Rattus norvegicus: one gene and its partner. The protein of the gene in region 1 purifies or fractionates together with the protein of each later gene. This does not show direct contact. Links are inferred from orthologs where the notes say so. Each region holds a gene or a part of one and is shown on either strand. Other genes may lie near its edges.

Evidence for each region.
Region 2: the proteins of Ndufaf5 (region 1) and Ndufaf8 purify together in Homo sapiens (affinity purification with mass spectrometry; 3 studies listed by BioGRID and IntAct, counting the BioPlex papers as one, with this or other methods). This does not show direct contact. The link is inferred for Rattus norvegicus from reciprocal best matches to the Homo sapiens genes NDUFAF5 and NDUFAF8.

Annotation. Positions count from the first base shown.
Region 1 is NC_086021.1:147,981,776-147,996,816, reverse strand, and holds the end of Ndufaf5 (arginine-hydroxylase NDUFAF5, mitochondrial precursor), read right to left. Parts: intron 9,669-15,041; exon of another isoform or gene 9,573-9,668; intron 6,427-9,572; coding exon 6,343-6,426; intron 6,023-6,342; coding exon 5,940-6,022; intron 5,798-5,939; coding exon 5,711-5,797; 3' UTR 5,689-5,710; downstream 1-5,688. UniProt on the Homo sapiens protein: Arginine hydroxylase that mediates hydroxylation of 'Arg-111' of NDUFS7 and is involved in the assembly of mitochondrial NADH:ubiquinone oxidoreductase complex (complex I, MT-ND1) at early stages. May also have methyltransferase activity.
Region 2 is NC_086028.1:105,871,969-105,887,954, reverse strand, and holds Ndufaf8 (NADH dehydrogenase [ubiquinone] 1 alpha subcomplex assembly factor 8), read right to left. Parts: upstream 8,048-15,986; 5' UTR 8,008-8,047; coding exon 7,924-8,007; intron 7,836-7,923; coding exon 7,725-7,835; intron 6,114-7,724; coding exon 6,084-6,113; 3' UTR 5,896-6,083; downstream 1-5,895. Other genes in the region: Slc38a10 (solute carrier family 38 member 10), read left to right, coding at 510-1,603; AP-4 complex accessory subunit tepsin, read left to right, coding at 8,317-8,364, 9,074-9,146, 9,520-9,611, 9,697-9,790, 10,502-10,569, 10,781-10,856, 10,975-11,046, 11,899-12,102 and 5 more. UniProt on the Homo sapiens protein: Involved in the assembly of mitochondrial NADH:ubiquinone oxidoreductase complex (complex I, MT-ND1). Required to stabilize NDUFAF5.

The DNA of each region.
Region 1 (15,041 bases):
GCTTTCAACTTGGGAGCTTCTGGGTGGCACCTAAAGTCCCCTTCAGTTTGGCTACAAATTTTGCTTTGACTTCATAATTCAACTTGTTCTCTAGGGCGAATCCTCCTACCTCTAGCAGATGTCTTCTCCTAGTTCAAGGAACTGTGTTGGAATTGTCCATATCCAACTACTGTCTTCCTTGGTACTCAGATTTCTGAGGTAGGTAACAGTCTATCCTTAACTCCAAGTGAGTAGTTGGTCTTAGAATTTTCAGTTAATGTGCCTGATTCCTCATTTGAACTCCAGTGTCTGTATTTGTGTTTTCTCTGTGCTACTAGAACTATGGTTATAGCAATGTTGGTGTAGGAGGTAAACATTTTGCTGAAGAACCTAAACATACTTTACATACAGGAACAATGTATAAAGTACAAAATAACACAGATTCAAGGCAGGCTAGAAGTGAAAACTTGAGCTGAATTAAAGACGGTTGAACTGAGCGCACAGAAGACCTGGAATGTGGCAGGCAGGCAGGCAAATATGCAGGGACCAAAATTCTGAAACAGGAAACTGGGCATATGCTAAGGACATAATCCTTTCCAGGTTCTTCACTCATAGCTCACTAGGGTGCAGAGTGTGCTAATATGCTTAGCTTTGACACTAAGATCAAAACCAAACAAAAAATAAGGAGAAAATGAATTTAGGGGGGCAGGTTGGGCATGGTTTCTGAGACTTCATTCCATGAAAGCATGGCCCCACTGCTTTAGGCAGCCTCACATAGAAAGGACAAGCAGAAGAGGAACTTGTCCATCTTATGCTGTCAGAACCAAAGGGGTCACGATGTACCTTTCAAGAGCACACCCCTAGTGACTTACGTTCTTTTCATACTGCTCCACATCTTAAGGTCCCATCACCTACAATAGTAGATCAATAAGTAGGCCAGACCTTCACCATATTTGCCTGTGAGGTTCATTTAGCAAACCATAGCAGCTGAAGAGAAAGATCCGAAGAGAGACTGGAGGCTCGTGTTTTCGTCCTCCAAAAGGCGGTAGGTGTGACTTATTTTGCCAACCTGACTAGATCTAGAACCACCTAGAAGACAGACTTCTAGGTGTGTGTGTGTATAGGGAGGTGTCAGAGAACTTTAAGACAAGACTTACCCTTCACACAGGCTGGATACCCAGACTTCATATTAAAAACAAACCAAAAAGCTGGGTGAGAGAGCACGGTGTAATAGCACTCACCCCTACTTCTTCAGCGTACAGTAACCAGTCACCCTTGTGACTTTCCACCACATTGGAGAAAGTGAACCTTTTCTGAAGTCATTTTTGTCAAGTATTTTGTTACAGCAATGAGAAAAGTAACCAAGACAATGAGGTAATTAATATCCCCACCTCCGTCGGAATCCAATTCAGGAAACTTCACTCATACCTGGTAGACAAAGGTTCCACACTAAGCGTACCCTTAGGACTAAAACTGTTTTGTTCTGCCTCCATCACACGCAGTGTAGAGGTTAAATAATACTGCCTCTGCCATCTGGGTGACCTTACAAAACTCGCAATCTCTATACCTTTTTCCTTTTTGAAAGGGGGACAACAGTACTTGCACTTCATAGGGAAGTACACAGATAACTAGGATGTCCATCAGTGGACTAACTCAATGTCTGGCAAGGGCATAATACTCATAGCTTTAAGTGGCTTTGTCAACTGTGTGTGAATAGGGTAAAGGGTAAATAAAGTTCCTTTGAGAACCACATGACTAGACAATCTAACTTTACTGAGACTGCTCCAGTAGGCCCTCCACAGTACTGCCTCGGCCACCTGAGGCCCTTGTGTGATTTGTAGCTATGACCTAATCATTTGGGTAAGTGACTGCAAATTTCTGTAAAATCCAGGGCACTTTTAAGTTTAGGACTAAAAAATTTGTTATCTTTTGTAGAAAATATAGAAGACCATCCATACAGAATCTGAGAGACTAAAATTCGCCTGTGTGTGTGTGTGTGTGTGTGTGTGTGTGTGTGTGTGTGTGTGTGTGTGTGTGTGGTGTCTGGAGATGTCAGTTGTCTAGTCTTCTCGAAACCCTGGGTTCAATCCACAGTACCACAGAAAACCAGGCATGGTAGTTCATGTCTGTAATCCCAGCATTTGGGAAGTTGAAGCAGGAGAATCAAATCCAAGATCATTCTCAACTATATAGCAAGTTCCAAGTCTGAGGCCAGACTGGGATACATGGGACACCACCTTCCACCAAAAAGGGATCTAGAAAAGAAGGCCAGTGGAAGAACCTAAGTAAATCACAGTGTGTTTCTTTACTTCTCTCCCAAAATTTGTTATCAGATAAAAATCAAACTGAACTCTTAAAGGGAAAAGGACTACCCTGGCTAGAGAGGAAGATCAGCATGATAGGAGAGAATGTGAGCTATTTCGGTGACCCCAGCCTATTGAAAATGGCAGGGTGTAACCACCACATGCTACACTGCCGATAAAAAGCCAAGTAAACAAAAGTTCAAGAAACTGTAAGGATAGGAAGGCATCCCTGGCCAGCTTCTCTTGGGTTCCAAGAACTGGAGTCTGACTGTTCCTCTCATCTCAACCTGTCCAGCGATTCATGACCACTTACTTCCCTCCCTCAGTGATGGATTTGCTTAGGCCACCATTCTCAGAGGCAGGGAAGCATACAGAAACATTTGGAAAAGTCCCTCAGTGTTGTCCAAAGCCATCCTGTGACCTTAACGCCCCTGACTATATTCATTAGACCTGCTGCATCTACTTGAAAGCAACCTTCGTCTGGGATTCTCCTCACTCCTTCATATACTTGCCTCCCAGCAGTAATTCTTCATCAGCAAGCCTTGTTCTCGGGCTAGTCTTAGCTTAGGAGTATATAGTGTGGAAGCTGAGACTTTCTAGCGCTGTGGTTGCTTTGGGTCACCCACTATCCTTTAAGTAAGCCCAGTAATTCATTGGCTCATCAAGCTGGACACTGGGGTGGTCTGTTGTTGGTGCCTTATCCAGGGTGAAATGTTTTTCATGTCTTCCCACTAAATATTCACTTGACACTCAAAATCTTGGAAGGTAAGCTGGGAGCCTCCTAGGAGACTGAGAAGCAAAGCTGTAGTCTTACACATGAAAATGCTGAGGCCAGAGAGAGAACTGAGTGTTGGGAAGGAGCACGCATGCTCAGGGCTAACCCCCGGCTCCTTTCTCCTATTTCTAGGCTTTAGTTACAAACACCGCCTCATCTTCCTGTGGAATTTCCCTCTTCCCAATCTCCCATTCACAGATAGTCTTGATAACTGCTCTTTATTCTCTGCCAGGTTGGTTCTGACAGACTAATGGGTACCTGAAACCTCAGATCCCATAAACAGGCTAGAGACACATTGGCTTAAACTTGCTACTTTGAAAGGGCAGACAGGGGCCTGGTGCATGGTCTTGCAAGAACCCAGGCTCTGTTCCCAGCACCTGTGGAGGAAGGGTTATGATCACCTGTATTCCAGCTCCAGGGACTTCAATGTCCTCAGCTTCTGGGCTCTGCAGGCACTTGTGCTCTTCCACACATACTTACACAGTATACACATAACTACAAAAGTAAAATAAATCTTAAAGGAGAGGGTGGGGTAGGCTTGCAAACGATGATCAAATCTGGGCTTTTAAAATCCCATATGGTTTTTGTTTTATCTTATTATATTTTTGTTAAAATAAAAAGCCCATACTATTTCCATACAATCTGCTCGTACAAGAACCTGAGAAGTGTGGGTGGGGAGGAGATGAATCCTGGGTGAGATGACTGGAACTGCAGTCGGGATGTAATGTATGAGAGAAGAAGAAATAAAGGGGGGAGACAGGTAGTCTGGTGGTGCTTAGCACATGAAACTCAAAGAGGTGTTCAAATAAATGAATTTTATTCCAAAGGCCAGTGCTCCCAGAATCAAAGTTTTCTTTCCTACCATGAACTTGAGTCCTGAAAAATCTTCCATCCTGAGTTCCAAACTTACAGCAACAGAGCAGAAAGGGCGAGAATTTCTTAAACTATTGAGACTGACAACTGCAGGGTGTGTGGCAGCTGGCTTTTATCCTAGCACCCGGGCAGCTGAGGCAGGAAGACTTCTGTAAGTTCTACAGCAACCAGGACCTCACGACATTGAGCTAAGCAATTTAAAAGCAAACGTGGTTTTCAAGACATTGTTTTCCATGTCATTTAATAATTTAATGAGTTTTGTAAAAATTTTTGATATGACAATTTAGTAAGTTTTGTTATTTTCCTGGCACTATGATTAAATCCCTGAGAGGAGGAAATGAGGGAAGACTATTTTGGGATAGTCATAAGGCAGGGCAGGGTAGGCACAGCAGCAGGGAAGCAAAGGGGCCACAGTCAGGACAGAACTACAAACATCCAGGCTTGCCCCTGGTGGCCAACTTCCTCGAGCCAGGCCTCCACTTCTACAGTTCCACAAACACCCAAATAGGAGCAGTGGTTAGAGAGCAAAGCCCAGTAGGGACATGTCACTGCTTCCAAATTTTCTGACCCTGAGATGTCAAGACAGTGAGCCTGGATTTGGGATAATAGTGTACTATGTCTAAAATAACAAAGGAAAGTCTGTCAACACTGGCTAGTCACTGGCAATGAGGCCTACATGAGATTTTACTTCTGATCATTTAAAGTGTTTTCTTCTCTTAAGATAAAGTGGTGTAGGCAACCTAGACCCTAGAAGTTAAAAAACGAATAAAAAGCAGGGACAGAACTCAGATGCTCTTAAACGTGGGGAGGAGGAGCTGGAGAGATGGTCACTGTTGAGCACTGTTCCCAGCAGACCTGAAGTGGCTCCCATTGTCCGTAACATCGTTCCCGGGGACCCTCTCCTGGTCTCCGCAGGCACCAAGCATGCACACAATGGAAACATGCAGAACAAAAATAACAAACCCAGGAAAAGAGGGATGAATCTGCTCTTCTCAAGTTCAAAGCTAGAGTAGCTTCGGAGCTCTGGTCATCTGGACAAGACAGACGTGTGACCAATACTAGGTATGGTGGGCCAGGCATGCCTGTCATCCCCAGACTAAAGGCAGACAGATCAATATGAGTGGAGGCCAGCCTCGTCTACATGGTAGTTCCAGGCCAACCAAGGCTACACAATGAGATCTGTCTCCAGAAACAAAGTACAACAAAGAATTCTGGTATCAGTGTCTACAGCAGTCACTATGAAGAGTTCTCATTGTACTGCACAAGAACTCTCAAGAACCGGGCAATTTGTCCTTCCTCCCATCCTCAGGCGTGTGATCATCCCACAGGAATGACAGAGACCAGAAGGAGGAAAGGTGTAGCATGTGAACATGAACATGTTTTCCCATCACATCACGTACTGACACGTGTGCACATATTCCTAGGTTCCCCGCATCTCCTTTGCTTTCAGGCTGGATTCCAAGGATGCCCAATCATTACGTAGCAGCATCTTTACGTAAACAGAAGTAAACGAGAACTCGAAATACTACTAAGCATGACTAGTATGAGGTTGCTAGTTAGTAGCTCAATAGATAGCTTCTTGCTTCAAACTGTAATAATTTCGATGTGAAAGTTACTTATTTCTGATAAAAATTCCAGGGGTTGGGGATTTAGCTCAGTGGTAGAGCACTTGCCTAGGATGCGCAAGGCCCTGGGTTCGGTCCCCAGCTCTGAAAAAAAAGAACCAAAAAAAAAAAAAAAAAAAAATTCCAGGAGACATTACAATTGAATCAAATGTTTATTATTTTTTCCCCTGTGACATGGTATCATTTAGTCTTGCTAGATCTCCAAATGACACGGTTGCTGAACCTCTTTCAGCTGGCCTTGCCTGAAAACAAGAAAAATGAGAGACATTAGATGCAGATAAGGCCAACCCAGAGTAACCCCAATCATGATATGCATGATATACCCTAAGTCAATCAACAATGGGAAACAAGCAGAAACACAAACCCTCTAAGAACTATCATTACCTGAGAGTCATGGTATTTCCATCCTATCATATGGTAGATCTGATATGTGGCAGGAATGGAACCATCCTCATTGCTGTACATTTCTAAAAAGACAAACATCGTTAAATTCTGGAACAGTATCTATCTGCTCCTAATAAACACCTACTTCCAAGAGAAATGAGTTCTAGGCTAGCTGTAGGATCTGTGTGCCTCACATAACAAGGCTCAACACAGAGAAGCTGACACTATGGAAACAAGAACTGCTTGGAAACAGACACAGATAGGATCTATATTCTGAGAGAAAACGAAAATCAAAATTCCCACGAAGCCCGACAGCACCTTACTAGAAGGGAACGGCGCTGTGGAATGAACAGCACGCAGCACAAACCCTCCGTGACTGCAGGTAGAGGAGTGGGCGACTCACCTCTGTACACCGCCGCAGCTGCCAGCATTGTGTCTCGGTGCAGCAGGGCTTTTCTGTTCCAAGAACAGTTGCTCTCACCCATCCCTAAAAATAAACCACAGGCAGTCTGAGGAAGTACTGCAAACACGCCGAGCAGCTCAGCATCAAGACACGATCCACCTCATCCAACAGCACAGCCACTCAGTCTCACCGGCTTTCACATTCCTGCTGGGCCCTCACTGACTGGAGCAGAGCTGTTTGAATCCTCTGCACTACCAAGTCAAGGAAAGTTAATTCTCAGCAGGGAAGCACCAGGATCCTTCCCACAACAGCCACAGTCTACAGTGAGCCGGCTCAGCAAAAGCCACCTAGGCCCTAGATGGGTCGCAAGCATTGGCAAGGGTCTTTCAAAGAATACCTCACCTTATACCCCTTTTTGCTGGCTCTCTGAAGCAGGACACTGTGACAGTGCCTCCTTCCTTCTAAGCAGCACATAAAATTACAACTGTAAACTTGGATGAGGGCTGTGGAACTCAATGACCATGCCTTCAAATTGTTTTGATATTTTACCAACAACAGATTTAAAACTTATGTGTATTTCCCCATAGAGGCACTTATTTTAGTATTTTAAAATTAATCTACAGACCTTTTCTCTTTAAAAAAAAAGATTTATTTATTATATATAAGTACACTGTAACATAATTTCCTTTTAAGTTTTTTTTTACATTCATTTATTTATTATATATAAGTACACTGTATCTGTCTTCAGACACACCAAAAGAGAGCATCAGATCTCATTACAGATGGTTGGGAGCCACCATGTGGTTGCTGGGATTTGAACTCAGGACCTCTGGAAGAGCAGTCAGTGCTCTTAACCACTGAGCCATCTCTCTAGCCCCAACCTTTTCTTTAAGTCGATGGTAAGAGGCTATTTACTGAAAATTTCTATTGTATAGCTAGAGAGATAGCTAGGAGGTACAGTCTTTGCCTAATGAGGGCAAGAGGCTGGGGATATGTATGAATGGATACAGTGCTTGCTACACAACCACGAACTCCAGCTCACACATAAAGAGCAGGTGTGGTGGTATCTGCTGTAATCCTTATGCTGGGAAGGGAGACAAGGGAATCCTGAGGGCAGCTAGTCTAGCAAATTAGTGACTCCAGGCTCAGTGACAAAGGAAAACAGAGGGAGCAAGAGACAATGATCTCTGGCAACCACGTATACACATATAGAGGCTGCACATGCAACTCATATGCACACAGAAGCACACACCCCTACACACACACACACACAGAGAGAGAGAGAGAGAGAGAGAGAGAGAGAGAGAGAGAGAGAGAGAGAGAGAGATGTGCGCCTGGGTTCAATTCCCAGTACTATAAAAAATAAAAACAAATTAATGTAATATCAAATTAATGTTACCTATTTTTCTTTACATGTACATTTTAAAATATTTGAGAAGGCTATGTTTAAGATCATTCTACAAAAGAACTAAAGGAAATTTTACAAAGTTGTAATTATTCTTAATATTAAAATTTATTACATGAGCAAGTGTCTACTACTTCTACTAGTCAAGAAATGATCATTTCTTCAATAGTTTAAAACAGTAATCTATTTTTAGATTTTTATTTAAATAAAATTTATATTTTTATTGTATTGGTTTTATTAAAAGCAGCCAACAAGGAGGCTGGAGAGCTGCCTCAGTTATGTGCACACACCACTCTTGCTAAGGATCTGAGTTTGGTTCCCAGAATACACCAGGCAGTGCCCAAGTCTGTAACTCCAGCTCCAGGAATCCGGCCCTCTTCTGGCTTCTAAGGGCACTACTTCAATAGGAATGACACTCATTCTATTAATAAACCCAGTGTCCCATATTTTGTGAGTTTAATGGTCTTAATTCATAGATCATTAATAGTCACAAACTACTAAGCTAAGTTAATTAAAAACACATGACTGGGTAAGGTGATGCACATTTAAAATCCCAGCACTTAGGAAAGAGAGCCAGGCAGACTGTCATTTCAGGGTCATCCTCAGAGTCATTCTCAGCTGTGTGAGACCCAGGTTCAAGTACAGAACAAATAAAAAACCTCTAACCCATCAACCAACCAAAACAAAAAATACTGGGGACCAGAGCAGTGGCCAAGTGGTTAGGCACACATGCCGCTCTTCAGAGGACCTGAGTTCAACTCGCAGCATCTGCATCAGAGGCTGGTAACTTCTGGTAACTCCAGTTCCAGAGGATCCACTGCCCTCTGTGGGTATCCACATGTGTGCCATATGCTCTTAGAGACATACATATTAAATAAAAACTAACAAATCCCACTATATACCCATCTTAAAAATATTCTCCCACATGGTGAACATGAATCACATAGCATCGAAGTAAGGCAGGGTTCACACTGCGGCAGTCTCTTACCAACGATGGATACAAAACTTAGTTTCTGCTCAACGTCCCACTGCCCTGGCTTCATTCCAAATCACATGCAGCAAATACAAAGACAACCCCCAACGCACTAGACATCGCCAAACAACTGTTACTTACATATTCTAAGTAAGACTCTTAGGCATATGCCATCTCTGTGAGTCTGACCCAGCTGGGTTATAGAGCACCGATACACGCATCAACAGTAACTCTCTTGCCACCGGAGTCCACTGTCCCCTCAGAAACACACACTGCTGTCCAGAACTTCCTCTTTCCTTGTGAAGTACCACAGAGAGAGAGAGAACCTCGACTCTGATTGCAACCTTACATAACTTAGGATAAGCATGATTCAACCTTAGCGGACTCAGTTTTTCACCTTTAAAATGGAATATCTTGTAGTTCATTGTGGGGAAGCTTTACTGACAACCATCTAGGAAAGATGTCTGTAATGGCAACTCAACCAGGACTTGGGAGAACAGACACTGCCTGGCAATGGTTTTAAGATTCTCAGTGATTTTACATTTGATCTTGGCCAAATGCTGAGGAGAGATTTCTCATAGAGGTGTTTTGTTTTGGTTTCTCAAGAAGAAAGGATTTCTTTATGTAGCCTTGGCTGTGTTGGAACTAGCTCTGAAGAGCAGACTGGCCTCGAACTCACACAGATCCACCTGCCTCTGCCTCCAGGGTGCTGGCGATGAAGGTGTGAGCCACCACTGCCCGGCTTTCTCACAGTGTTTTTAAGGTTAAATTCAAATGCTTATTAAAAACAAACTTTAATGTGGATTACTGAAACAATGCTGAGCATTGCCTTTAAAAAAAACCTGAACTTACCTTAAAACCACTGTGAAAGCCTTGAAAATGTCTCATGCATTCATCAGTTGATATGAAACTTGTTTGTAAAATTAGGTCAACCTTCTCCATTTTTTTCTGTGAATTAATAATAACGGTAGCTAAAATGAGATACACCTCAACCATCAGAAAACAAACACAACAGAGATAGGGAATACAATCGCTAACTGGAGGACGCCACCTTCCAGTTGGCACAGGAGCACCCCAGCAAACACCCGCACGCCTCCACCTCCCACCACCCTCGGACTTTTCCCACTGGGTAAATAGTGGAGACTTCAGGATATGAACTAAGCTGCCTGTCTCCATTACAACTTGGACAAGTCCCTTTCTTCTCTGTGCCTCAGTTTCCTCATACACCAGGGCAGACTGGCCATGCTACTTCCTGTCTTACCCTCCTATAAATCATGCCTAACAAACAGGCAAACAATGTACCTTCTACTACACTTGAATCTGAGTCATCCCTGGGGAAAATTCTCCCAAGACAAGCTAGAAGGCTCATCTGAGAAAATCTAGAAGCTTCTGATCTTCTATGGTTCCCCATTATCTGCCTATTCTATACACTTAGGCAGCATTATTACCACATTCCCCCAACACAAGAGTAGGACATACATAACCTCTCATATCTCCCGCCCATGACTGTATACACACTCTTCTTGGTGCAACCCTCAAACTCTCCCTACCCTTCATCCTGGAAAACTCACTTTAGCTCACCTAGGTTCTGCATTTTCTATAAGACTCTTAAGCAGATTTAAAGTCAATTCCTTGTGTTTCTCTCATTTTAAGTAGAGGTGTGTCTGTCTAGCTTGGGAGTCTTTTCATCTAGAATATTAGCAACTTGAGATGAGAAACTACAGATCTCCACCACTAGCTAAGGACTCAATAAACAGTCAGTGAATAAATATAAAAGCCATCAGTTAATGCTTCTGTTTAAACAAATAACATTTTTACAAATTATCTTTATATGATTCTTAAGTCACCTACAGATAAAAGACATCAAAAACATGACTTTTGTAAAAGGCCTGACAGTAGAGGTAAGAGATCTCTCTAAAGGGTAAGCATTCAGAACAGTTCCTCAAACTGTCAGACCTACTTAAAGCCCAGGGGGCAGGCATTACTAATAGGGAAGGGGCCCCAAAAAGGTTCTAAAACCTGATCTAGAAAGTGGTTAAAATGCAAGCATTGATTTACCGGAAGACCATGTGTGGTGGTTTGAAGAGAATGGCCCCCATAACCATAACTGAATCCTTTGTCCCTAGTTAGTGGAACTATCAGGGAAGGATTAGGAGACATGGCCTTATTGGAGTAGGTGTGGCTTTGAGGTTTCAAAAGTCCATGCTAAGCCTTTCCCTACCTGCCTGCCAATAGATCAGAATGTAAGATCCCAGCCCCATGTGCCATGCTGTCCTGCCTGCCACCAAGCTTCCTACCATGATGATAATGGACTAGGCCTCAAAAACTTCCACTTAAATGTATTCTTTTATAGCAGTTGCCTGGTCAGTTGGTGTCTCTTCACAGCAACATAACTAAGACACCATGTGTCTCACACCTGCCTTCTTGCACCTTCAGATTGAAGCATTTCTCAATCCTCACCAGAGAAGCTTCTTTTTGTCATAGATGACAGTCAACACTGAGAGCCACAAATGGCCATGGTGCAGAGAAGTAGAGACTGCAGAATGCTCAGTTCTAAATGGAACACACACACACACACACACACACACACACACACACACACACACACACACACTGAACCCCCTGTGTCAAAGGCTCAGGGATCATCAGACAGAATATAGGAGCCAGCAGGAAATGACAGGGAGGAGACAGTGTCTTCTGGACGTAGCAGGACAGCTGCACATGTAAACCAGTGTGGTAGCATCACCTGGAATTCCCCAGCCAAATCAAGTCCCAGCATGGAAAGTGGAGCTGGGCAGTGTTCCACCCCTGCCTGAGGAGCGATTAGCCACTGTTAGCTGGGAGAGGAAGGGTCAGTTTTCTCCAAGAGTGTAGTCATGATAAGTTAGCTACATTCCAGCAGGCTACAGATCCAAGCAGCACAAACTGACGTTGAGGGCGTGGGAGAGGGCAGAGACATAAAACTGGGTGGAAGGGAAGGCGGATGGGTCTTAAAAGAATTTGGAGCGAGTGAATATGATCAAAAACTTATTTTATGAAATTCTGAAAGAAACAACAAAAAACATTTTTAAAAACCACAAGCAGTTATAACACTAAAGCGTTAACAAAAAGGCTAATCTCACTATTTGAAAGATGCAACTATATATTTTAGTATAAATACATACATACATACATATATATACACACATATATACACACACATATATACATATATACATACATATATACTACATTAATGTATAGAATAAAACTGTGGATTCAAGTAACTAATCCTAGGTTTAGCATGACTACAGACAAGGTACTTATGCCTTTGATGAGTTCACCTGTAAATCAAGACATTAGAAAACCTTGTGCCAGATACAATACAGCACTCAGGAAGCAGAGACACGCAGATAGTAAGTCTGAGGTAAGCCTGCAATCCAAAGCAAGATCAAGGCTAGCTTGAGGGTGCAAAGGCAGATCCTGTATCGAAAAATCAGAGGCTGGAGATGTAGCTCAGTGGCAAAGCACTTGGATTATATGTGCAAGGCTAAAGTTTTTGATCCCTAGAAAAACAACCCACACATGGAAAGAAAAAGAATAGCCCAGAGAACTGCAGAGTAATTACTGTATTTTTAAATCAGTGGGCAGTAACCTTTTCCAACTGATAGATCTAATTTCTTGTCTCTTTCTATTTTCTTTCTTGAAATGAATCATGAGTACAGCATTTATTATAGACTAGTAGAAAATAAACACTGTATTCAAAGAATTATTGTTGGAGCCTAAATGAGAAATTATAATTTCATTACCATATCTTAAGCTTTTACATAAAAGGGCTCCATGTTTCTGAGTCTGTTTAGTACTTGGGGACATTTCAAAAAATGTTTGCTGTGCTTTATTATCTTTATCATCTTGAGTGTGCACCAGTAGCCTACCAATCCTGTTTCTCATGATGCAAAGGGACCACAGTGATTAGTTTTTGTCTATGTGTATCTTCCTATGTTAATAGGACAGTGTAACTGCACTCTCAGAAGAGTGGTAAACACGTGGAACAAGAAACAGGCCAGACCCTTACCACTAACAGACAACTACAGCAAGCAATGAGAGTCGGGTAAGACGCCAGGGCACAAGACAAACGCTTGGCACCTAAGTCAGCCACTCAGACTCAAGGGTTCTCTTTAGCCCTAATGCTTCTTACTCAACATAAAAGCAGTTACCAAGAGGAACACTGGGAAGAAAAAAGTACAAAAATGTTTGTAAAAACCATAAATCTATAAATGTAAGAACAGGCAAGCAATTACATAAATTTCATTATTTCAAAATGTATTATAAATTTTCAGAAACAGATGAAGGCTTCCTTACAGGCAAGCATAATTCTATTTCATAGACGCCCCCCCCCAACTTTAACTCCTCTAGCCATCAAAATTGCCCATGCTATTAGTGAAGAGTGTGTGTGTGTGTGTGTGTGTGTGTGTGTGTGTGTGTGTGTGTGTGTACAAGCCGTTCACAAAGTCTCACAAAGGAGGACAGCTGTAATTTCTCCATGGCAGGTGTTTCTTCCTGAATAAGTCACACTTTTTCAAAGCCGAGAGGCGGGAGCTGCATCCCTGCTGTCCCTCAGGGTGTCTGCCTGGTCGTGATTTGCTCTGCCTGTGAGACACCCTCACCCTGTAGCGGATAGCTCCCCCTGCTGTAACTTCTGCTGCTGCTTGCTGGCAGATCTCAGCCTAAGCAGCCCCTCCTTTGAAGGTCTGGCACTGGCCGGTTTTCCTGTGCACCTCTCACTCTGAGGGGACAGGTTTCAGTAAGTGTTAGTGTCCATCAAGTTCCACTCTCTACCTCACCTCCAATGAGCTTCGTCCTCCCCTCCGCCCCTGTATGTGTGAGATGTCCCCGACAGAGTTTGTAACTTTAACCCCTTTACTTTCAAGTCACCCACCAAGCATCTCATTTTCCGAGTGCATCACCCAGCCCTTTCAGCATTACTGAGTACTTCAGCTGTAATCATTTCCTGACTGTGTGGAGACCGCTTAGGTACAGCAACGTTCATCCAACTTCCCAGCTCACGTTTGCCTTCCACTTCACCATTTCAATTATATTTGTAGAGTGATCTTAGAAATAGCAGGACACCAACCCAAACTGACCCAACTTCCTGTTGCTGCCAATCAGGTAAGTCTGATTGACTTTAGTGAACCCTTCAAACTCTGTAACTTCCCCTAGTCATTCACCTTTCTCTCCAGTGACTATGTCAGTGCTTCTACACAATTCTCAGACTAAGAATCTCCACACAGCATTACTTCCTCTGTATCAAGGCAAAGAGCCCCATAAGCAGGATCTTCTTGCTATCAAACACAAACACCTAAGTGCACTAACTATCCTCCCGTCATCAACATATCTGCCTCCACATTCCCCAGTCAGCTCTGCTGCAGTGATGTGGGAGACTCAAACTACTACAGCAGGCAAGAGGCTCATGAATGGGGCCAAATTTTTAAGATGACATTCACCAAATGCAAATTTGACAAAGGTCATTGAATAAGTCACAGATTAGGATAGAGAAGAGAAGAAGAAATGCCACACCCTAGAGGAGCTTTACCAGATGAAGCAGACTAAAGAATGTGTTCTCACGGTGGGCGGGCATGACCATGAAGAGGTAAATCAAGAGCTCTCTATTGATACCAGGACCACCCCGCAGGTTGGTGTGTACCAGGACACTAAGACTAGACCTTGAACACAAGGCATTTGTAGGGACTTTTGAAGGTCTAGGTGACCAGCCTGATGAGCTACATAATGTAACTTTCAAAGCCAAGCTAAAGCTCTGGATCTGAACTAATGATAAGGGCCTTCCCCAATTCTGAACAAGAGACCGCAAACATGTATGTAGGAAAAATGTACTACAACACATTAATGTGAGTAGATCATGCCTTTAACCCAAGCTAAGGCAATGCAGAGTTCAAGGTCAGCCTGGGCCAAACCATGAGACACAGTCTCACAAAAGCAAATGAATTTGGGAAATCAATATATTTTGGTACTGGAGATCAAACCTCGGGAATGGAAAACAACATTAATAGGGTCTGTTACTGTTTAAACATGGAACCCACCATCACCACCTCCACTGCCAGCACGAAAAGGCTCATGTGTTTGAAATATTGGTCCCCAGTTGGTGGCACTGCTTTGGAAGATTGTGGAAGAGGTGAGTTCTTGAGGAAGGAAGTGAGTAACTGGGATGCTAAGCCTTGAGCATCACAGCCTGGCTCTGTGTCACTGTGGCCTCCTGCTGTGGTCTCTCCAACTGCCTCTTTCTCCTGTCACAGTGCCTTCCCTGCCACGGCAGACTGTACACCC
Region 2 (15,986 bases), on another chromosome or scaffold:
GTGTGTGTTTATGTGTGTATGTGGAGGCTAGAAGAGAATGTCAGACCCCTTAGAACTGGAGTTACATAAGACCATTGTGAGCTTCCTGAATAGGTATTGGGAGAGCAGCTTTGGTCTTCTCCAAGAGCAGCAAACATTAACTGTTGAGTCGTCTCTCCAGCTCTTGGTGATTTTTTTTTTAATTTATGTATATGAGTACACTATACCTGTCCTTAGACACACCAGAAGAGGGTATCGGATCCCATTACAGATGGTTGTGAGCCACCATGTGGTTGCTGGGAATTGAACTCAGGACCTCTGGAAGAGCAGTTAGTGTTTTTTTTTTTTTTTTTTTTCCGGAGCTGGGGACCGAACCCAGGGCCTTGCACTTGCTAGGCAAGCGCTCTACCACTGAGCTAAATCCCCAACCCCGCAGTTAGTGTTCTTAACTGCTTGAAAGTTTCTTTTCAGTCAGTGCATCACCAACTGTCCATTTCTTTGGCTAAAACAATGCTTACCTTCGTTCACAGCAGACATGCAGCCAGAGCCTGGGGCGGCTGTACTCAGAGGACAGGAAGAGGAGGCTGAGCATGCTGGGGCCCCAGATGAGCATGCTGGGGAGACACTGGAAGATAACCCTTCACAGCCTTTGCAACCTGTGCTTGGAGCTCCTAGGGGTCACCCTGCTCCATCCCAAGACAAGGGCCAGCACCCTCTGGAGGAAGTCAAGGTACTGGCAGGCAGAGACCTTGCTGACCTTCCTGCTGGTGGTTCTGACACAGAGCCCCATGGGGCTTCAAGTAAGCTGAGAGAAGACCAAAAAGGTGCTGCCCTCAAGGTGGCTGAAGCTGTGAGGAAGCTGGTCCCAGGGGACTTGGAACCAGTGCACAAGCCAGACCCTGCTGAGGTGCCCAAGAGTCCAGAGAAGCAGCTTGCCAAGGAGGTTGCCAGGCAGCGCCAAGATGTCTTTGGTGAAGGTTCCCAAGAAAGGAAGGAAACTGGAAAGGATGCAGTGGCCCCTGGTGCTGATACTCAGAAAGAGGCTGCCCAGCCTTTAGTGGGGGCAGAAGCTGAGGACTCTCACTCAAAATCCAGGCACTCAGAACCCACCAAGGTCCCAGCTAGTGGGCCAGCAGGTATGGGCTTTCAGGCCCAAGCCAGGTTTCGGCAAGAACCCCAGGTCATCTTTGACAAAAGTCAGGATTCTCACCCAGAGGTAAGAAGTGAGGGCCCCCGAGGGGTTGGCATCCCTGCTGAGGAGCAGCACAGAGGAAGAGGGGCTGCCGCTATGCAAGAGGAAAAGCAGAGACCAGATCCGAATTCTGGGCCCAAACTAGCTGTGCCTGGGGATCAGAAGCCTGAGAATGCCAAACCTAACAGAGACCTGAAAGTGCAGGCTGGCTCTGACCTGCGGAGGAGACGGCGGGATCTCGCCTCTCCTCCAGAGCAGGAGCTGGCTCCAAAGGATGGAGTCATCATTAGCTTTAACTCCCTCCCTAACGTACAGGTGAACGACCTCCGCAGTGCTCTGGACACCCAGCTCCGCCAGGCTGCAGGGGCCGCATTACAGGTGGTGCACAGCCGGCAGATTAAACAGTTGTCTGGAGACCTGGAGGAAGCCTGAGAACCTGGTCAGGGGAAGGCTGCTGCTAGACATTGGACGGCAGGCAGCCGGTGTCCTCTGGCGACACCCTGACTGGAGGCCATGTTGTTATGTTCCCAAGTCCTTCATGATGAATTGCGAAAGTCTACCCTGCCACCCAACCCTAGGCATCTGTCCCTCTGTGGCTTCACTTGCCCCAAGGCCACACCAAAGCACGCACTGGCCCTAGTATGGTGGGTCTTGAACCAGCCCAGGAGAAGCAGTGCTACATACAGTTCAGCTCCAGTGATGCACTGCGGCACCTCGGCTGTTCAGACTCAGTCTGGCAGTGCTGACAGCAAGGCAGGCAACTTTGAAGTTGCCAGTCTTCATCTAACTTGCAACCTGTGACAGCCAGATTCCACTGACTAGATAAATTCCATGTTCTCCATAGAAGGAAACCTGCATCAGGGATGTCTGTCTGCCTTGGGGTGGGTAGGACTTGACTTGGGTTGGGAAAGGAGGCACACAGCCCTCCTGGTTTTTATCATCCACATTCTTTGAACCTGATTATGAAGCAAAAAATAAAACACCACTAACAAGTAGTGAGTCAAGTTGGTTTACCTAAAGGAAAACACATTCAGGATCCTGGATGATACCAAACCAGCTAGAGGCTAGAGGTCATGGGGATACACGCCCCAGCCGTCTTCCTGAACCAGCTGAGTGCTGCTGGGGAAGCAACAGGCAACAGGCCCCCGTGCTGATCCCTGTTGTAGGGAGGGGTTGGACAATGAGCACAGGCTTGCCACCAGCAAGCCCTGGGATGTATCTACACGGCTTTAGGCTCAGAGTAGAGCTGCCCTCTGTCCAACTGCAGCTGTCAGGGTAGTGTCCTGGGAGTCAGAGCAGGAAGTCATGACTGTTGTCTTTGAGCAGAGAATACTTGATATGTTTTGTCACTCACTCCCTTGCCCAGTAAGGAGACTGAGGGACAACAGCCTGGTTTGTCCCCAAGCCCTGCCGTGAAGGGCCTGGAAGCACCAGGAGCCTCAGTGGAATCATACTTGGACCAGGCCACACCCTATTGTGTACCTGCTGCACCTCTTGAAATGTATTTTATTACAGTTTATTTTTTTTTAATTTACTTATGTCTATCAATGTTTCCTTTGCTTATCTCTGCACCAGATGCCTGCAGTGCCCCTGGATGTCAGAAGAGGGTGTCAGGCTTCCATCCTTTCTGACTAGAACCAGTTCCAAATACAGCATTGTTTGGTGGAAAGATGCCACCTGGCCTTCCCCTCAGATCAAAACTCTTGTCACCTTGCTGGGGCTGGGACTTCTACATAGCCTGATAGTCCTGAGTATCTTGAGGTCATTGTGTTCTAAAAGTAGGCAGGGCTGTCCTTGTTCCCAGCTCTTCCTCCTAGCTCTCCCCTCTAATCCTGCTGTTAGCACCTTCAGGTAAGGGCACTTCTTAAAGAACACAGCTACAGATTTGGGGTGGGGTGGGGGTTGCTGGCAAACTGTAAAACTGCTGAGGGAGACGGTGCTCCCAGCTGGGTCCTGTAAAACCTGGGCCAGCAGCCTGCCAATTCAGCTACTAGCTACTAGTTGGGTCAGGTCAACTCCAGTAGGCAGGCTACTGCAGTGGGATGCCTGCCCACAGATGATTCTGCTGTAGAACAGGTATGCTTGGTAGCAATGCTACCAGGCTAGGAGGCATGCTTCTGTTCCAGGGCAGCAGAGCGGGGCACAGGGAGTAATGCTCAAGCTCTCAAAAGAACAGACAGCTGGGGTAGGAATGGCAAACATCTTTAATCCCAGCACTCAGGAGGCAGAGGCAGGTGGGTGGATCTCTGAGTTCAATACCAGCCTGGACTGTAGAGTGAGTTCCAGGATAGCCAAGGCTACACAGAGAAATCATGCCTCAAAAAAAAAAAAAAAAAAAAAAAAAATAAACCAGATTTCATCCAAGGCCAAGACATTGGTTCAGTGAGGTCTAAGTTGCAGGGTTCCAAGTAGGAGAACCAGGAGGAAGTTTTTAAGTGCTTAGGCTATAAGGTGGTACACCAAGGCAACCTTTGAACTGTGCTCTCTTGCCCAGGAAAGGTTCAGCAGGAGGGCCCTCACAGCACTAGAACTTGACAGGTAACCTCTGGGCTTCAGCCCCAACAAGCTGACTACATGCTTGAGCAGTCAGTGCTATGTGGCTGTGGCAGCCGTGGAAGCGTCTGTTGTAGCCAGTGAATGCACTCCTGAGAGAGACTAGTGCAGGTGCAAAGGCCAAAGGAGCCTGTACAGCAGTGGCCTGGATACTGCAGGACAACTTGATTGATTTTCAGTTTCAGTACCAAGGTTGCCTGGCCTGTGTGATCAGCCGAGACAGCACTGTGGCACAAGCATATGGTAGAGGTTTTCCATGTCCTGTTGGACAGGAACTGAGGATCAGGCACAATGTTCAAAAGCATGCCTGTAATGACCTACTTCCTGAAGTTTCTAGGACCTCCCAAAATAGTCTCGTTCTTGTGTGTACGAGAATCTAATATTCAAATCATGACAGCTGGAAGGAGTGGGGCTTGAGGCCTGAGAGCTGAGCTGAGTCTGTAGTAGGCCTGGGTTATGCAGGACCATGGAAAGCAGTGGGACTGTCTGCCTCCTCAGGGTTAAGGTGGAAGATGAAAGGACAGAACATTTTGCCAGACAAGTCTGAGGGCCCAAAGTTGGGAGTATTCAGAGATGTAAGAGGCTCCAGTCAGTGAGCTTTCAGGGAAACTTGAAGATGATATTGGCAGGTGGGGAGTCAGTCTGAGGAAGCTGGTCTTGGGCTGTGAGCTCTTGAGAACATGGAGAAAAGAACACTCAGACAACAATCTGTAATCCCTAGGCAATCACACCAACACCTGGGTCTCAGTGAGAGCCCAGAAGTCATGTCTTGAGATGGACTCGGAATCTACCAAATGTGAGTTTTCTAGAAGCTGAAGGGATGGCCTAGCAGTTAAAAGCACTTGTTGCTCTTGTCGAGGACCCAGGTTTGACTCCCAGCATCCACATGGCAGCCCACAATTCTCTGTAATTCCAGTTCCAACACCATTGTGCCTCCCTGACCTCCAGTGTAATATACATATACACGTGTGTGTGTGTGTGTGTGTGTGTGTGTGTGTGTGTTACACACACACACAGCTACAACACCTGTCCACGCTGAATAAATCTTAAACTAAAAAACCTGGGTTTTCCCGCACGGTCAGGCCAGTTCCAGAGTAGCAGTGAGATGCCACGTGGAGGTGCAGATTTAGGCATGGAATACAGGGCATGATGGTCCCTGGCCCTAACCCTGTTCCCAGGAATCAGGGTTCTGAGGCAGGTGCACTGTCAAGGACACCATGACCACCACACCTAAGTAGAATGGGACTCAGTAGTTCCCATGTTCCCCAGCAGGTACAGAGAATCCTCTGCACTCCTGAATTTTTTTAAGCCCACTGTGTGAAGAGGAGGAAAAGAATGAAGGCTAGGAGCCATTGTCCCTGACAGGCTGCAGGGATGGCTGTCCCCTCACTGAAGGTCCAAAGAGAACCTCCTTGTTGGCTTTTGTGCAGAAAAGCCTCTGCCAATTCTTGGGCAGCCCTCCCTCCGTAGGCCGTTTCTTATGCTGGAGGCTTGCTCCCTTCTGCTGTTGCTGTTTTTGTCTTTGGTGTGCCTTACGCTAAGCTGTCAGATCCAGAGGCTTGGTGAGCCAGACTTAGACTAAATACTTTTGATGAAAATAGGGAGTTTTTGTTTTAAGATTTATATGTTTTGCCTGTATGTCTGTGTGCCACATGTGTGCCTGGTTCCTGCTGAGGCCAGAAGAGGGTGTTGGATCCCCTGGAATTAAAATTAAAGATGGCTGTAAGCTGCCATGTAGGAGCTAGCAACTGAACCTGGGTCTTCTGAAAGAGTAACAGGCGCTTTTAACTGCTGAGCAGTTTCCCCAGACCTTGGTTAGAACAGGGTTTCTTGTTTTGCTTTGGTTTGGGGTTTTTTGTTTTGTTTTTTTTTTTTTTTTTTTTTTGAGATGGTTTCTCTGTGTAACAAACCCTGGCTGTCCTAAACTTGCTTTGTAGACCAGGCTGGCTTTAAACTCAGAGATCTACCTGTCTCTGCCTCCCGAGTGCTGGGATTAATGGTGCGCACCACTATGCCCAGCTGAGTGCAGTTTTAAATGAGGTCCCTGTGGCAGAGCTCTGTGGTCCAGACCTGCCACCCTTGTGGGGTGGGGATGCAGGTGTCCTCTGGATACATTGTCCTTAGGAGAGACCAGTTCCTTATACCATGCTCTCTATATAAAAGTCTGAAACTGCAATGTTAAATCATCATGTTACATCTTAATCAAATCCAGATCCTCATACACAAAGTGCTGTGTAAACAGCCCTGCCCTGCCCAAGGTTCAAGGTGGGAAGAACCACGTAACACCAGGAACTCTGCTGTCCACATTCAGGTCTCCATGAGTGCTGTCAGTACAACGCATCTGTGCCCATTGCTCTTCCTAGGAGCCTCCCATCATGGTCTTCTTGGCCTGAAAGAGAAAACATTTTGTTTCAGCAACTTATTTCCAATTTTAGATATGGCTTAAAAGCAAGACATCAAATGCCACATTCTCAGGGTTGGGGATTTAGCTCAGTGGTAGAGCGCTTGCCTAGGAAGCGCAAGGCCCTGGGTTCGGTCCCCAGCTCCAAAAAAAAGAACCAAAAAAAAAAAAAAAAAAAGCAAACAAATGTCACATTCTCCCAAACACCCTAAAGAACTGAGGTGGTAGTGTATATATGGGGGTTCCAGCCTGAGCTCACCTACAGAGGGAGCCTGGGCCCTGTGATTGGGCACGGATGGATGTGGGATACCTTTATCTGGTCTAGGCAAGAAAAGAGATGGAGTCAACAGTTCACCAGCCACAAAGTTCTGGTCAACCACAGAGAGGGTGGCAGAGACAGCAGAAACTATGAACACTAGGAGTGTGTCTAGGGTTTTGATGACAGCTGCTGGCCACCAACCACAAGAGTAAAGGCTTGTCTGATTGCCTCCCTGCTCAGGGAGGGAGGGGTACAGGGTTGAAAGGCAGCCAAAAGGCAGGGATCAAGGTAGAAGGAACAAGAAAAGCGCAGCACCTGAAGACTGAACAGCGTCTGCTGGGAAACTAGTCAGAGGTTGTAGGTAAGGCTAGACTGTAGTGAACTCAAGGAAAGTTTAGGTCTCCCAAACACTGCTCTTTCTGCCTAAGGCTACTGTGGACTTAGCGAACTGCTTCAGATATGCCGTGTGGCTCTGCGTTCTTTTTTTTTTTTTTTTTTTTTTTCTTTTCTTTTTTTCGGAGCTGGGGACCGAACCCAGGGCCTTGCGCTTCCTAGGCAAGCGCTCTACCACTTCTTTTTTTTTTTTTTTCTTTTCTTTTTTTCGGAGCTGGGGACCGAACCCAGGGCCTTGCGCTTCCTAGGCAAGCGCTCTACCACTGAGCTAAATCCCCAACCCCGTGGCTCTGCGTTTTTAACCCCCGACCCTATCTCTCGTCCTATTTCTGCATTGGCATCTCCCAGCAGCAGTGCTGCTATGACCTACCTCAGACCCGCCGAATCAGCAATACCCAGGAGACCAGTAGTAGTGATAATTCTAGGAACCTATCGTAGGATGAGGGCCCAAGACTCTTGCAGGTCAAAGACCCATTACCTGATAACACCTACCTGTTCTGTCTGAAACATACACTATGGTCTCCCGGTCTCACTATGGTCTTACGCTGCTGGCCGTCTTCACAAGACTGTAAGTGGGACGGCAACTGACAGGGACCATGGCCAGGCAAAGTCAGAGGGGACTTGAAGTGGAGGGGTCATAGGCTGAAGACCCAAGAGGCTCTCATCATCTTTTCTGTGCTACAATGAGAACTAGCTTCGGACACTGCACTTGACTCCTCGGTGAAAGGGGTGCCTAGCAGGGCGCTCCCCGGACAACGCACAGGAACTTCTGAGAGAAACTAAGTTGAGCTGGGGTCGGCCTTCAGCAAAGTTAACTTGAGGTCCTTCCACCCTTCAATGACCCTTCCTGGAGTTGATTGGCAGAAAAAAGTATGCTTGGCCTTGCCCTAAAGCAGCAGAAAAGGAAAGCCAGAAAGGAACGAGGCAGCAAGGACATGCCCACCTACCGCGGCGGCGAAGCAGCTCCGCAGGGCCTCGAACTCGCGCACGCACAGGTCCTTACTCAGGCGGCCTCCTGGGGCAGTGGAGGCCTGCACGCACTTCCCATACGCCGAGGCCTGTGGGAAGACCGGACAGTACTAGGGTCTGACCAGAGTCGCCACCCTCTTCCGCTTATCCTGCAGCCCAGCTCCGTCCGCTGCTTACCTCAGCTCCGCAGGCCGCCAGATGCTCGGGAAAGGCTCGGAGACGGCTCCGCACACGCCCCCACACCGCTCCGTTGACAGACATGAGCGGTTCTTTCAGGCCCTTGTGGGCGCCGCCATCTTGGGCCCTGCCTCTTCCGGTGTAGAATGTGTGAACATCCGGTCCCTCCGCCTTTTACTGCTTTCTGGTTGGTCAGAGTCGCTGTCTTGTGCTTCTGTAATTGGTGTTAGTTCTTGTCCGACTCTACCTGGGACTTTGGACTGGCTGAGGCTCAGATGTTTCCGCCTTTGTGCCCGCCTCCTGAGAACGATTGGTTGGGGGAACCAGAGAAACGCGACGATTGGAGGATCGAAACCTGGCGGAAGCGTGGCAGACTGGGAGGTTACCTGGACCATGGCAGCCGTTCCGCCGCTGCGAGACCGCTTGAGCTTTCTACATAGGGTGAGTGAAACTCGCCGGGTGTGCTGACACTCGCGCTCGGGGACCTTGCTAGATTAGCGGGGACAAACTGTCCAGCAGCTGCTGAAAATGAGTGCGCCTGCTGTGATAGCAGGAGGTTAACCCCAAGGGCGGCGAGCGATCTCCAGCGGGGCCCATCCCCTCTTCCCAGGCTTCATTTCTGAAGATCCTGGAAACTCAGATCTCAACCAAGTAAACACCATATGTTTGCAGTGACAGGCAAGGCAGTAAGTAAGCAAGCACAGCTATGCTGATTCATGACTATAGAACTGAAACCCCTCAAGGAGCCATGAAGCCCGCCAAGCTGAGCCCTTTGGGTCTGTACTCAGGAGGGCTGGTGTCTCGCCCATCACACACAAAAAGCCCCGAGATTCTTGCTGTTGCTGGTTGATAAGTAGGTAGATTTAAAATATCCTCACACTTATGAGCATAGAAGGCTGGGACTGAATCTCATCTTGACCTAGAGAACCGTCATTGATTTTCCTCTTTCCTGGGTCACTCCTCCGTGCCAGAGCAAAGCCTGTTTACAGCTCCACTTTGTGGCCCTTGGGATGATTGTGGTCCCTCCCAGGCTCTCCTGGGCAGTTTCGGCACCAGTCAGCATGAGGCCTGCCTGCTTCCATTCCCTTCAGTGGCTGGGACCTACCCTATATAAGACGGCAGCTTCACCATGGCACTCATTCCTCTTCAGCTCCCCATTCTGTTGAAGGGGACCTCAGATGATGACATCCCATGCCCAGGCTACCTGTTTGAAGAGATTGCCAGTATCCTTCTGCACCGTTGGTGGGTTTAGTGCTTAGTAAACAGCGGGGGTCCTGACTTAGCAGGAAGGGCTATTGGGCAAAGATGGGGTCTTCTGCTATCCCAGGAGCACCAGCAACTTCTTTTTCCTAGTATCCAGATGGGGGTAGGAGTGGGGTAAGAGGAGGGGAGGGAACACTAAAAACTACAATACCAATAAGGTAGAGACCAGGACACGCTAAAAGTTCCAGTGCTGGTTAGACCAAAGCCTGTGGTCATGGTCTTCAAAGTGAGACCTGAGTCCCATGGTCATCGGAAGGCAAGTCTTTCTCAGCCAGTAGATCCTTCCTGGTATGGCCTGTGTCAGCCTGCTTCCCTGACCCAAATGACTCTCAGAGATTTCCCACGAGTCACTGGGCAGCAGCCAGTGCCTGCTGGAGTACCTCCTGAACCGCCTGGACAGTAGCTCTGGCCACGTGAAGCTCAAGGTGAGGCCTCAGTCCCTGGAGCCAGCTTGGGTTGGGGGAGAGATACTTCGCAACCGCCAGCCCCATGAGTCTGCTGGTTCTTCAGGTGCTGAAGATCTTGCTTTACCTGTGCAGTCACGGCTCTTCCTCCTTCATGCTCATCCTTAGGAGAAACTCTGCTCTCATCCAAGAAGCCACAGGTATGGAAAGACACAGGTGTGCCCAGGGAAAGCAGGGGGTGGGTATCGGTACACACAACCCTTGGGTGCCACACTTGGGGCTCTGACTGGTCTGAGCTTGTGAATGGAAAAGGTGTCAGTGTTGGAGGTACCCACTAAGGACTCTCTGAGGAATGACTCTTAGCCCTAAAAGGGTGAGGCAGAACTGGCATATATAGGTGTGCTATGGTATACGCCAGCATGTGCAAAGCCCTGAGCCAAGGAAAGCTTGGCTTCACGTGGTGTGAGAAAACCTCGTTTTCTCTGAGGGGGCCTTTTTAGCAGAGGGAGTTTTATCTCAGGCTGAAGCAGCCTGGGAGCCAGGTGCAAAACAATACGTAAAAAGGTCCTGACAGAGACCTCAGGTCTACCATCCAGGCCCTGAGAAACTGCTAAGGGTCGTGTTGCAGGTGAGTGGAGGAGAATGGACCCAAGGAAGCAGTTAGGTAAGCACAAGTCCAGCGAGGGTAGGAGGTGGGAGGTAAGAAGTCTGTCTCTGGCAGACACAGTAGATATCATAGAGGTGGATGGTGGCTTCGCTACCTCCAGTGGTCAAGGGCGAATGTTAAATGTTGTATCCCCAACCCCCCTGAGGAAGGAGCTGGGGGATATACCCTCTGGGAGGGTTGGCCTGCCCCATGGGTAGCAAAGAGTACCCAGGCTCAGCCTCTCCGTCTGTCTTCTGCCCTGCAGCTTTCGCGGGGCCTCCGGATCCTCTTCATGGAAATAGCTTGTACCAGAAAGTGCGGGCGGCTGCCCAGGTGAGCTCTGGACAGGGTCACTGCCCAGACTCTAGGGCGACAGAATGTCTGTGAGGTGCTTGCTGTTTTCCTGCCGCATGGGGCCCAGCTGAGCCACAGCCCCTGTCCTTTGTTGGACAGCTTGAGAGAATTGTCTGACACAGAGCAGAGCTGGCGGGGGTGGGCAGAACAGCGGGCTCAGGTAGGACTCAGCACCCACTTCTTCATTTAGGACCTGGGTAGCACCCTCTTCTCAGACGCACTGCCACAGCCTCCCTCCCAGCCGCCCCAGATCCTGCCTCCTGCAGGTATGCCACTCGGTGACCACCCCCCTGCCATCATCAGAGGTTGTCCCTTGGTGTCCTAGATGTCTCTGTGCATGTGGGCAGGGCCGGGGAGGCCTACGCTGATGCCAGTTTCTTTTAGGCATGGGCGCCCAGGCCAGGCCTCATAGTGCTCTACAAGGCTTCGGTTATACTAAGGAGAGCAGCCGGACAGGTAAGACACAGGACTCTTGGGTAGAGAGATGTACAGATTTACTCCCAGCACCCAGAAGGCAGAGACAGATCTGTGAGTTTGAGGCCAGCCTGGTTCAGGATGACCAGGACTACATGGGAAAAAAAACAAAAACAAAAAAACCTGTCTCAAAGACCAAAAAAAAAGAAAAAAGAGTTTATATTCATGTAGAGGTCAGGGCCAGAACTCAATGGCATCAAGATCATCTGTCCCCAAGTGTACCCATGTGGACCCGTTTGTTACTTCCTGGATGTGCTTGTTCCCCTGTGCTGTTTCCTCTGCCCAGCTGAGAGGAAGGTTTGGCAAGAGTGGCCAGGTTTACTTGATGGCCAGGAAGGAGAAGCTAGACTTAAATCCAGCTGGCCTTGGCCTTTGGTACTGCTTGAGGAGCAAGGATCCAACCATGACAGGAACCTGGAGGGCCATCTGTGCCGGTGGTAACAGCGTGGTACGTGTGGGTCCTACTCGTCAGATACTTGTAGCTTGTCTGTTGAAGGTGTATCTGACAGCACAGAATGGAGCAAGCCATCTCAGCTATCCTTGGGGCTGTATACGGAGCCCCCTGACCATCCTTGCCTGCGTGTTTGTACCCCTTGACTGAAGGGACAAGGACATTTTGACTACCCAGGGCAGCCCTCGTAGAACATCCCTTGCCAGAACTGATTGCTCTAAGCCAAGAGTCCAGACCAGAGTGCAGCTGCTGTGCTCCACCTGAAGCACGTGTCTGTCTGTACCTCCGTAGCTCTGAGCAGACAGTTGCCCTGGCCCTCCTGGAGCATGCAGTCGGGGTTGGGAAGGAGGCTGGGGTGCTGATGCCACTTCCTCTGTGTACAGGCTCTGCAGGTGAAACCTTCCTCTCCACCATCCAGAGGGCCGCAGAGGTAGTGGTGAATGCTGTGCGTCCTGGGCCTGATAATCCTTGTACCAAGGGACCCCTGCCACACGGTGATGCCTACCAGCCTGCAGTGACACCTTCAGCTAGCCACACACATCCCAACCCCGGGAATCTCCTCCCTGCGGCTATCCAGGGGACCAGAGGTAAGGCGGTAAGGGTTGCCACATTAGAGGTTTAGACGTGCCTTCGTGCCTAGGCAGGACTGTCACAAGGGCAGGAGGCAGGAAGCACCCATCTTGTGTGCTGGAAGTTTCTGGAGCTGTCCTGTAAGCTCAGGACACAACCTCTCGTCTCCTAGCCCAGAGTCCCTAAGAAGGTGGTGTGAGGTCTGTGAAAAGTCCTGGGGCCTTAACTGCCATTCTTGCATCTTTCAGCTGTGAAACACCAGCCCGGGCAGGCTGGAGGAGGCTGGGATGAGATGGACAGCAGTCCTAGTTCCCAGAATTCCTCCTGTACCAGCAACCTGAGCAGGGCCTCAGACTCAGTCAGTCGGTCTGGCAGTGATAGCCACTCTGGTGCCAGCCGGGAGCCAGGCGACCTGGCAGAGAGGTATGTGGAATAGATGGTCACCTCTCCCAGACCCCACTGTGGGAGCTTAGAGGGTGCTCTCCCACCCTTCTACCTGAGACCTAGATATCTGACTTGGCCGAGCTGTTGTACTTTTTCCAGGGCTGAGGGCATGGCCCCAAATGACTGCCAGCAAGAACTGAATCTAGTGAGGACTGTGACACAGGGGCCACGTGTCTTCCTGAGCCGTGAGGAGACGCAGCACTTCATCAAAGAGTGAGCTGCCCACCTGTGTGCATCTGTCCCGAGGGAGGAGGGAACTTGCTGTGGCTGCCCCCGATCCCTCCCATATGTCCCCTCCCTGTACAGGTGCGGCCTGCTCAACTGTGAGGCTGTGCTGGAGCTGCTCCTCCAGCAGCTGGTCGGGACCAGTGAGTGTGAGCAGATGGTGAGGACGAGAGGGAGCTCACTGTGCGTGTGTGAAGGAGCAGGGATACGTGGATCTGTGTGGATGACAGCAGGGCACCCTTGGCTGACAGTGTCCACCTGGGCAACATGGAGAGGGTGGTGGGGACAGCATGGCTAGTATCTCCTCATCCAAGGCCAAGACAGAGGAGGGTGGCATGAGACCCTGAGGAGCCGTGGAGAGCTGACTCCCGTTCTCCCCTGCTTCTGGTCCACAGAGGGCACTGTGTGCCATAGCGTCCTTTGGAAGTGCTGACCTCCTTCCTCAGGAGCACATTCTCCTCCTGTGCCGACAGCAGCTGCAGGAACTTGGTGCAGGCAGCCCTGGGCCTGTGACCAACAAAGCCACCAAGGTGAGCCGTGGGCCCTGGGAGCGCCAGACGGTCTCAGCGCTCATGGCCCAGGTGGCCATGGTCAGCACCTATGACGCATTCCTACAGCCCTGCCTATGGCTGGTGCCCACCTCCCTTGGACTTGCACCATGGGTGCCTTGGCTGCCTGCTTTACCTGGACACCCACCCATTCCCCCACTCATTCCTGTGCCTGGCTCACCATCCTGTGTCCTGCACATACTCACCCTGCTCCAGAAAGTCTTCCTTGGGGCAGGTTCACCCTGCCTCATCTCCAGAGTCTTTCCCATGGCCCTGAGTCTCCTCACCTGTGCCTGTTCTGTCTGCTTGGTCGCACCCCTAGTTGGTTTTTTCTTTGTTTGTTTGATTGATTGATTGATTGATTGATTGTTTACATTTTGAGATAGGGTCTTACTATGTAACCCTGACTGACCTAGAACTCACCCGACACACCAGGCTGGACTCCCAGATCCGCCTGCCTCTGCCTCCCAAGTACTGGGATGAAAGGCATGACTACACATCCGGCCAGGGTCTCTTATTTTCTCTATTGCTACTAAATGTGTTGCAGCCTCTTAGTCCAGGTTGGCTGCTACACTGTTAGCACCTGTTAAACCCAGTAAACTTGGGTAACATCACAGGAACGTTTGTCCAGAGTAACCTTGGTCCCCTGGGAGGTTCTGAGGCTGGGCCTGCCCATATATCTGTTCAGGGGGACTTGTGTCATGCCATGTCGTGACTCTGGGTACCTGCCTGTGCTAAAAAACAATTAGCCTTGCCCCTCACTGTTTCTAGCAATAAACAGGAACCCCCAACTCCTTCCCGTTTTCCTCCAGATCCTGAGACACTTGGAAGCCTCCTGTGGACAACAGTTCCCTACCCTAAGGCCCTGTGCCCAGCCCAACTCTGCAGCTGCTGTTGTGGGCCCAGCTGATCTGCTGACCAGCCCTGTGCCTCCCCCTGGGAGCCAAGTCTTCCTCCAGCCTCTTAGTTCCACCGCAGTTGTGCCCAGGAGTCCTGTGCCCACTCCATCTCCAGATACCTTACCTCCTGCTCTGCAGGATCCCGGTGAGCTCAGAACCCAATTGGTATGTTCTAGTGAACCAGGGACAGGATCTGAACAGAGGCTGGAGAACACAGACACCCCAAAGGATAGCTCCAGTCCGTGTCCGTGGAGCCCCAACTCTCTGTTTGCTGGCATGGAGCTGGTAGCTTGCACCCGCCTGCCCTGCCCCAGCTTCCAGGCAGATTTGCAGAAGGTGACCACAGAGCCTCCAGTTTCAGAGCCATCCGCTTTTGCATTTTTAAACATGTGACTTTCTGGGCCCCGCTGTACAGAGTCCCCCCTGGCCCTCATATGGAGTTCACCATGGAGTGTTCCGTGGGTGTCTTCTGGCTGTTCTTTTGCCCCTCTGGCCCCTTCCTTTCACCTAGGAAACTGGTACAGCGGTCTTTGAGCCAGGTGATCCCTGGATGGACCTCCCAGTGCTCAGAACAGTCACTGAAGAAGACATATGGGCCCTGAGTGCTAACCAGCCAACCTGGAAGTGTGAAAAATATGGTCAACTAGTGCCTCAGAAGATGTCTGCACATCCACTGCTTCTTGGGAAGTGACTCTGGCCATGCCCCTGAGATTGACTTCTCTCCTCCTGGCAAGACCCACACAGACCTTCTTAGCAGTCTGTCCATAGCTGAAGACCGCCTCAGAGGTTTCCCGCTTTGTGCAGTACATCTGCAGGGCAGTACTTCCCCAGGGCTGCTGACCACAGTCCCTCTGCCCCATGCTGCTCTGTCTCTAGGAGGCTGAACACTGAGGCCAACTCCCAGGCTACCTCAGTCCCAGGCGGGCCTGTCCCATTGCTAGGAGCTGGCAACGATCGTATGGACTTGAACTCCTATGGTGACAGATGGCAGGTAGCAAGGCTGCAGCTGGGTACCCTGGGCAAGCCTTGTTGGGCTGACCCTCAGAAATGAGCACTTGATAAGGGTTAGAAACACTGACTTGGTTCACAGTTATGTTCTGATCTCCTTTCCTTCCTTATGGAGGTCAAATTAGCTGGGAGCGACAGCCTTGAGGACAGGGTGCTGGAAAGGTGCCTGTGGCCCAGAAGGCCTCGTTCTCAGCTTCCTCAGCCAAGTGCCCTGTGGCCATTGCCAGTGTCAGCCCCTGTGGGGCCCAACTCTGGATGCACAACTTGCCACAGTTTTCTCCAGCACACGGGAGAGTCTCGTCTAGATGAACCTTCCTGTCCATCTCAGAAGAGCCTGTGAAGCTGCGCCATGCACTTTCTCAATAAATGCAGATGTTTACACAGCCTGTGCCACTTTTGTTTAAGAGATGTTATTTACGTCAGTACACTGTAGCTGTCTTCCGACACAGCAGGAGAGGGCAGCGGACCCCACTACAGATGGTTGTGAGCCACTATGTGGTTGCTGGGATTTGAACTCAGGACCTCTGGAAGAGCAGTCAGTGCTCTCTTAACCGCCGAGGCATCTCTCCAGCCCCCATTTATTATTACTATCATTAATTAGTCACTATTATTATTATTCATTATTATTAGTCACACCTTGAGGACTTGTTTTCCTGAGTAGAGCAGGTGTCTCCTCCCCAAGTGTTTGGTGGAGCCTCTCAACGGTGCTGTTTCGCCCTCACCCGCAAGGGGCCAGGATACTCTGAACAGACACTATGGTCGAGCTGCTCCAGGCCG